Linked DNA regions of Arabidopsis thaliana. Each later gene encodes a partner of the first gene's protein in a complex. Each region holds a gene or a part of one and is shown on either strand. Other genes may lie near its edges. A codon is read from its position in the direction of its gene.

Region 1 (4,849 bases):
GCAGGTTGATGCAACGTACAGACTTTGCCTTTGAAAGTTTAAGATGGCAACCTAAAGATTGCTCTATGGAAGAATTTGAGGGTTCCAAGTTCTTGAGAAGGTAAACAGAAAAATTCCTATATTTCATTCCAACTTATGCATGTGTTAATCCATAGACGTTGTCAAATATTCCCATCAAGTCCTTAGTAACAGTGCGTGGCTCTATTTTACAAATTCCCTCAGGATGAAGAACAAAACCCTAGCCTTTGTTGGAGACTCGTTGGGAAGACAACAGTTTCAGTCTATGATGTGTATGATCTCGGGAGGCAAAGAGAGACTCGATGTCCTTGATGTGGGACCAGAATTTGGGTTCATAACTCCCGAAGGTGGAGCTCGTCCTGGTGGTTGGGCTTACAGATTCCCAGAAACTAACACAACGGTCCTATACCACTGGTCATCTACACTGTGCGACATAGAACCGCTCAACATCACTGACCCCGCAACTGAACACGCTATGCATCTTGATCGCCCACCAGCGTTTTTACGCCAATACCTTCAAAAGATCGACGTATTGGTAATGAACACAGGTCACCATTGGAACCGCGGGAAGCTCAACGGGAACAAATGGGTGATGCATGTTAATGGCGTTCCCAACACTAACAGGAAGTTAGCTGCTCTTGGGAACGCCAAGAATTTCACAATCCACAGCACAGTTAGTTGGGTTAACTCACAACTCCCTCTCCATCCCGGTCTCAAGGCATTCTACAGAAGCCTTTCACCGAGACATTTCGTGGGTGGGGAATGGAACACCGGAGGGAGCTGCAATAACACAACCCCAATGTCTATCGGGAAAGAAGTTTTGCAAGAGGAGTCAAGCGACTACAGCGCGGGTCGTGCAGTGAAAGGTACAGGGGTTAAGCTTTTAGACATAACAGCCTTATCTCATATTAGAGACGAAGGTCACATATCACGGTTCAGTATCTCGGCTTCACGGGGAGTTCAGGATTGCCTCCATTGGTGCTTGCCCGGTGTTCCTGATACGTGGAATGAAATCCTTTTTGCAATGATCTAAGTTTTCAAGTTACAGCTGTTGCATCAATCAACAGAAAAGTTCAGAGAAAGGGCTTGAGCCAAATCAAAGCCAGCCTTTGATAGCTTTCTACAACACACATTGAAGTTTTAGCGGCAGGAGGTGTAAGTTAGTATTTATTTTGGTACAAAACCAAAGCTCTGGGTATCATAGACGTATTGTCGTTATCGTAACCATACCGGGGTTTGGTTTCGACCATATTTTACAGAACAGATTCTAACTCTTGGAATTTGTCTTTGATCGATTAAAAGAAAATTTTAGAGTTACTTCTAAATAGTTCATGTGTTATCGTTTGGATTCTGCCTAAGCACTAAGCATTTTTCCTTAAAAGCATGAATTTGATGCTGCCTAAATGTGCGCAAATAACCCGAGACATATGAATCGACTGGAAACCTATTCGATTTGTCCGAATTTTAAGATACTAATTATTTCAGTTTCTATAACAGTGATGAGACATTTACCTGTTGAAAAAGAAATAGATAGAGATGCAAATGTATAAGATTAAACTTCAAGATCCTTATCAAAAAATTCTCAAAGCTCTCAGAAACAAGCAAATAGGATTACAAAAATTATAACAAAAACACTATTTTTGGCTTAAAAAAAAGTCTAAACTTTGACAACTAATTCAATCAAAGAAAAAATGCCACCCTTTCCTTCTCAACCTTCACAAACAGACAATGTCCAAAGTTTGGAACAACAAACACAATCTAAACAAAACCACACCTTTCAACAAACTATAGAGCATCATCATCATTATCAAAAACATTGTCCTTGTTTTAAGACGTAACATCCCAACAAGAACAAGAAAAAGAAAAAGAGCATCTCCTCTCTTCAATCCATGGCTGCTGCTGTTCTGAATCCCGGTTTCTTTCTCCTCATCCTCCTCTTATCTTTCTCAATCTCCCCTTCTTTGCAGTATGTGAGCGAGTCCGAACCGCTTGTGCGGTTCAAAAACTCGGTGAAGATAACCAAAGGGGACCTAAATTCATGGAGAGAAGGGACAGATCCTTGCAGTGGGAAATGGTTTGGGATCTATTGCCAAAAGGGTCTAACAGTCTCAGGCATTCACGTCACACGTCTAGGTCTCTCAGGAACCATCACCGTGGATGATTTAAAGGATCTCCCAAATCTAAAGACGATCAGGCTTGACAACAACCTCCTCTCCGGTCCTCTCCCGCATTTCTTTAAACTCCGTGGCCTAAAATCTCTCATGCTCTCTAACAACAGCTTCTCCGGAGAGATCCGTGACGATTTTTTCAAGGACATGTCAAAGCTCAAGCGACTATTTCTTGATCATAACAAGTTCGAGGGAAGTATCCCTTCCTCCATTACGCAGCTCCCTCAACTCGAGGAGCTTCACATGCAAAGTAATAACCTCACCGGAGAGATACCTCCAGAGTTTGGCAGCATGAAGAACCTTAAAGTCCTCGACCTCTCAACCAACAGCCTCGATGGAATCGTCCCGCAAAGCATTGCGGATAAGAAAAATCTCGCTGTTAATTTGACAGAGAACGAATACTTGTGCGGGCCGGTGGTGGACGTTGGATGTGAGAATATTGAGCTAAACGATCCGCAAGAAGGACAACCCCCGTCGAAACCATCCTCCTCGGTACCAGAAACCTCGAACAAGGCCGCAATAAACGCAATCATGGTGTCGATATCGCTTCTTCTCCTGTTCTTTATTATTGTTGGCGTTATAAAGAGGCGAAATAAGAAGAAGAACCCTGACTTTAGAATGCTCGCCAACAACCGTGAAAACGATGTTGTGGAAGTCAGGATATCCGAGTCTTCATCCACGACCGCCAAAAGGTCTACAGATTCAAGCAGGAAGCGCGGTGGGCACTCGGATGACGGTTCCACCAAGAAAGGTGTGTCGAATATTGGTAAAGGTGGTAACGGAGGAGGAGGAGGAGCTCTAGGCGGTGGTATGGGTGACATTATTATGGTGAATACCGACAAAGGTTCCTTCGGTTTACCCGATCTGATGAAGGCTGCAGCCGAGGTGCTTGGCAACGGTAGCCTTGGATCAGCTTACAAGGCGGTGATGACCACTGGATTATCCGTTGTGGTGAAAAGGATTAGGGATATGAATCAACTTGCACGTGAACCTTTCGATGTCGAGATGAGACGATTCGGGAAACTCCGCCACCCTAACATTTTGACCCCTTTAGCCTATCACTACCGCCGCGAAGAGAAGCTTGTAGTCTCCGAATACATGCCTAAAAGCAGCTTGCTTTACGTTTTACATGGTAACCGAAATGCTTCTTTAATTTGTTCCTTTTTATAAGACCTCTCAAAAGCAAATTTCTTGCCAGTTAAAACATTTTAGGAAACCTTTAATAATCTTTGGTATTTTTTTTTTCTCAAGGAGATCGTGGGATATACCATTCCGAGCTAACTTGGGCAACAAGATTGAAGATCATCCAAGGAGTGGCTCACGGAATGAAGTTCTTGCACGAGGAGTTTGCGTCTTATGATCTACCACACGGTAACCTCAAATCCAGCAATGTTCTCCTCAGCGAGACCTACGAGCCTTTGATCAGTGATTACGCATTCTTACCGCTTCTCCAACCAAGCAACGCATCGCAAGCATTGTTTGCTTTCAAGACTCCCGAGTTCGCGCAGACACAACAGGTCTCGCATAAATCAGACGTCTACTGCCTCGGAATTATAATTCTAGAGATCTTGACGGGGAAATTCCCTTCTCAATACTTAAACAACGGTAAAGGCGGGACGGATATAGTACAATGGGTACAATCTTCGGTTGCGGAGCAAAAAGAAGAAGAACTTATCGATCCGGAGATAGTAAACAATACTGAATCAATGCGACAGATGGTGGAATTGTTGCGGGTTGGGGCTGCTTGTATCGCAAGTAATCCAGATGAGAGATTAGACATGAGGGAAGCTGTTAGAAGGATAGAACAAGTAAAAACTTGAAGTGGTGTTTAGAAAGCATGCAATCACGGTTGGAACAATCAAACTCTAAAGAGAAGAAAGAAACCTTTGGATTAATCCGTAGATGTAATACTACTAACGACAAAGCTAAGTGTGAAACAAGGACGAAAAAATTGGGCACGTATATAGGAAAATGGTTTGTATTTCTTGGGAGGGCTTCTATAATTCTTTTGTGGTTGGAGTGATCTATCTTTGCAATGAAATTTAAAAAAAAAAAAAAAAAAAAAAAAAAAAACTTTTCCGTTCCATAAGAAATGCACAACTGTTCACAAGAAAGATACAAATATTTTCACTTTTTTTTACTTTTCTTAATTCTTCTCGTTTTCTCAGTCAAAAGAATAAGGTTAAATGTAAACACTTATTTTCTTCAAGGAAAATCGAAAACTGTTATTTTAACACTAACCATTATATTTTGGGAAATATCGAATTTAAAAATGCATGCAAAAGATTCGAAAGTACCAACCAGTGGTAAAGTCTTTTCACTGTTATTCTTTTCATTTGAATTTTTGACTTTGAAACGCATTCTTCTAATTGAGTATTTAGTTTAGTGGTATTTTTTAAAAAAGGATAGTTCACATGTAGCTACGTTGTCTTCTATATGATATAATAAACTTCTTCAGATTTCATATATATCCCTGAATCTAAGTCTTAACCATCAAAAGCTTACAATTTAAACACAAGCAACCCATTGTGTAAGGAGATTTATAAAGAGCGACATATTAATGGACCCCAAAAGCTTGAGTATTGGGTAGGAGACTCGATTCGAATACGAACAAAGACATATTAAAATTTTGCATGCAAGTCAATTTTAATGAAAGGACCACA
Region 2 (3,012 bases), about 10 Mb from region 1:
CCATTTTGCTGTCAATGCTCACCTATGATTTTAGTCTTGAAAATCTTTTGTTTGGTTATGTCAGGTTCCACCAATGGGTCTGTTTTATCCTAACCTTTTGGTCCCTGAAATATTTCCCCAGCCACCACGTCAATGGTCAGAGTTAAACCTTCTTATATTCTTCTCTTTGGTTTAGTTGTCGACCGAGAGATACTCATTTGAAACCTATTGTTTAGGTTTCAAGACTACGAGAATATGTTGGAAGACACTTGGAACATGGACTTTGGAGGTGGTGGTAACATGGGATTACCAATGTGGGATAGTTTTGCATTTTCGCCTTCAAAACCAAAGAAAGAAGAGAAGATTGGTCTCGCTGAAGCCATTACAAGCAGCATTCTCTCTGCTGGTATATGTTGTGATGCACCCTCCTGCATTATATAAAAATCAACACCTAACAAAAACGTTATCCTTTTCTTCTTCCTTTGCTTGTAGGACGCATAGACCTTAGACGGAAGCTTTTCTCCAGCATTCAATTGGTAGATCCTGAAAACCTTTTTTTTTACACACTCAAGTTTTCGCCATGTACTTCCTTAAAATCATGTGCTACCATGTAACTCTTCATACATGAATGTGTTACCTTGGAACTCTCTCTCTCTTTTGGCTTCTCAGATTGGTGGTGCTGGTTTGACGAAAGGTCTTGTAGCGGCAGTGGAAGAAAGGTTTGCTCGTTTCCTTTACCAAACATTTCGTTTTCTAACATCCAGAAGGCACATCCAACTAAACAGAGTATTTTGTTCAACTAATGTTTATGTCCCTCTCTCCTTTGCGTTTCAGAGTTCTTCACGCGATACCTCCAACTGAAGCCATTGATACAGTGCAGGTTCTGCCATCAAGAACGGAGCCACAATTCGTAACTTGGAAAGGAGGAGCGGTACGTTTGCATTTGTTTGCATCTTTTATTTTCTTACCACTCTTGATTTTGTGTATTTATGTACTGAAATTTGAGACAGATATTGGGAATTCTGGACTTTGGGAGGGAGGCTTGGATTGAGAGACATCAATGGATGGTAAATGGGGTTAATAAAGGTGGTCTAAAGAAGTACAAAGACTCTTATCACCTTCAAGGTCAAGCAATGTACTTCATCAACCCCTAGTTTCTGTCTATATCTTAAGCTTTCTCTGTTTCTTATCAGAATACTTTTACTTGTCATAACTCAAAACCAAAAACAAAAATTCTCAGAGTAAATGTTATTTTGCTAAGATATTCTCAGAGTTTGGATTGATTCGAGGCATATAAGAATTTAACTGATTTGGTCATCTTTAAGATCATAACTATTAATAAGGAATCCAAAAGTTATTTAAGGTTTTGTTAGAAAAGCAAGATAGGCATCATGAGTTAGTATATATATATATATATATATATATAATATAGAACTTTTTGATTTTTTTTAATCAAACTATATTATATATATATATGTCTTAGTTCCTAATAAAATGTAAACTTCAATAGAATTTTTGAAATATAAAGTTTTAAACCTGTAATTGTTTGCACTTATTAGATGTATATTACTATTTATACCAATATATAACAGATTTTAATAACTAAACAATTATAATTTTTTAACAAAAACAAACGTAATAGGTTACTGAAATTTACTTTATAACAAAATAAAACGTTTAAATGAAAATTAACTCTTTATATAACATATTTATCTACAGAGCCTATAAATATGACTAAATATTGCTTTAATACTCCAGAGCAAAACAAAAGAAAAACGATTCACAATAATATTTAATATATTTTCTTTGTGATATTGGTTAATTTCTACCAAGAAATGAAGTTGCCTATTATATTCTTAACTCTATTAATTTTTGTTTCTTCATGTAAGTCTAAATTATTTAATTAGGATAATGTGTCAGTATTATAATCATTATAAAAACTGTTTAAGAATTTGATATATCTTTTAAAAATTTGATAGGTACATCAACACTTATAAATGGATCTAGTGATGAAGAGAGAACATATTCTTTCAGTCCAACAACAAGTCCTTTTGATCCACGCTCACTGAACCAAGAACTTAAAATTGGGAGAATTGGTTACTGTTTTGATTGCGCAAGAGCTTGTATGAGACGGGGTAAGTATATTCGTACATGTAGTTTTGAAAGAAAACTTTGTCGTTGCAGTATTAGTGATATTAAATAAGGCATTGTAACTTTGTTAAACATTAATAAAAAAACAAATTATATTACTGTTTAATGTTCATCCATGCTCTTCTTTTTACAATAATGAAAATGTATAATAATCTAAAAGTTTTGTAGTGTGCACTTAACATGAAATTTATTGGAGTTAATAAAGGCTGTCTAAAGAAGTACAAAGACTCTTATCACCTTCAAGGTCAAGCAATGTACTTCATCAACCCCTAGTTTCTGTCTATATCTTAAGCTTTCTCTGTTTCTTATCACAATAACTTTTACTTGTCATAACTCAAAACCAAAAACAAAAGTTCTCAGAGTAAATGTTATTTTGCTAAGATATTGTATGTTTTGTCATGTATTTGATTGAACCCTTTCTCTCTACACAACAAAACCAATTTCTAAGGGAGTTTTATTTTAGATTTATGATGGTTTAAAGAGAGAAAAAAAAAAAAAAAGTAGTTACAGTTTTTTGTCCCACATCGGCAATACGAGAGGGAAGGAGAGCAGAGAAGGGCTTATATAAAGAAGATGGGCCTCACCGTTAGAAATTAAAAAGGGTCGGATGGCTATTTATGCCACGCTCAGCCTAAGATAAGGGGTGAGTGCTGTATGGCAAAATCAAGACATATGGCCGACATTATTTCTGGAACAACCCATGGGTTGGCTCGCTCGGCCGACCCTCCAAATTACAATTAAAAATAATTAAAATTTGTTTATCATACGTTCGGCGTAATTGTTTACTATAATTAGATAAAGAATCCATTTTAATTCCCTCAACTAAAGTATTATTGACAAATACTTTATTCTATATACATTTAAAACTCCAAATGACTATCG

The links.
Region 2: the proteins of PRK6 (region 1) and LURE1.2 are in contact, whole or in part, in a crystal structure (PDB 5Y9W), measured with the Arabidopsis thaliana proteins. Residues at the interface, in NP_197569.2 of Arabidopsis thaliana: Glu226 (codon at 2,583), Tyr227 (codon at 2,586), Leu228 (codon at 2,589), Cys229 (codon at 2,592), Gly230 (codon at 2,595), Pro231 (codon at 2,598), Val233 (codon at 2,604), Asp234 (codon at 2,607), Val235 (codon at 2,610), Gly236 (codon at 2,613), Cys237 (codon at 2,616), Glu238 (codon at 2,619), Asn239 (codon at 2,622), Ile240 (codon at 2,625), Leu242 (codon at 2,631); in NP_001078701.1 of Arabidopsis thaliana: Tyr57 (codon at 2,078), Asp60 (codon at 2,087), Cys61 (codon at 2,090), Ala64 (codon at 2,099), Arg68 (codon at 2,111), Arg73 (codon at 2,126), Thr74 (codon at 2,129), Cys75 (codon at 2,132), Ser76 (codon at 2,135), Arg79 (codon at 2,144), Lys80 (codon at 2,147), Leu81 (codon at 2,150), Cys82 (codon at 2,153), Arg83 (codon at 2,156), Cys84 (codon at 2,159), Ser85 (codon at 2,162), Ile86 (codon at 2,165), Ser87 (codon at 2,168).

Annotation. Positions count from the first base shown.
Region 1 is NC_003076.8:7,000,546-7,005,394, forward strand, and holds PRK6 (Leucine-rich repeat protein kinase family protein), read left to right. Parts: upstream 1-1,907; coding exon 1,908-3,318; intron 3,319-3,437; coding exon 3,438-4,006; 3' UTR 4,007-4,230; downstream 4,231-4,849. Other genes in the region: TBL16 (TRICHOME BIREFRINGENCE-LIKE 16), read left to right, coding at 1-100, 223-1,051. UniProt on the Arabidopsis thaliana protein: Key receptor for sensing species-specific attractants in cooperation with other pollen receptor-like kinases. Essential for pollen tube reorientation toward attractant peptides.
Region 2 is NC_003076.8:17,472,297-17,475,308, forward strand, and holds LURE1.2 (Putative membrane lipoprotein), read left to right. Parts: upstream 1-1,752; 5' UTR 1,753-1,814; coding exon 1,815-1,863; intron 1,864-1,958; coding exon 1,959-2,182; 3' UTR 2,183-2,189; downstream 2,190-3,012. Other genes in the region: ARP9 (actin-related protein 9), read left to right, coding at 65-135, 216-385, 472-515, 649-698, 814-910, 990-1,133. UniProt on the Arabidopsis thaliana protein: Pollen tube attractants guiding pollen tubes to the ovular micropyle. Attracts specifically pollen tubes from A.thaliana, but not those from A.lyrata. Triggers endocytosis of MDIS1 in the pollen tube tip.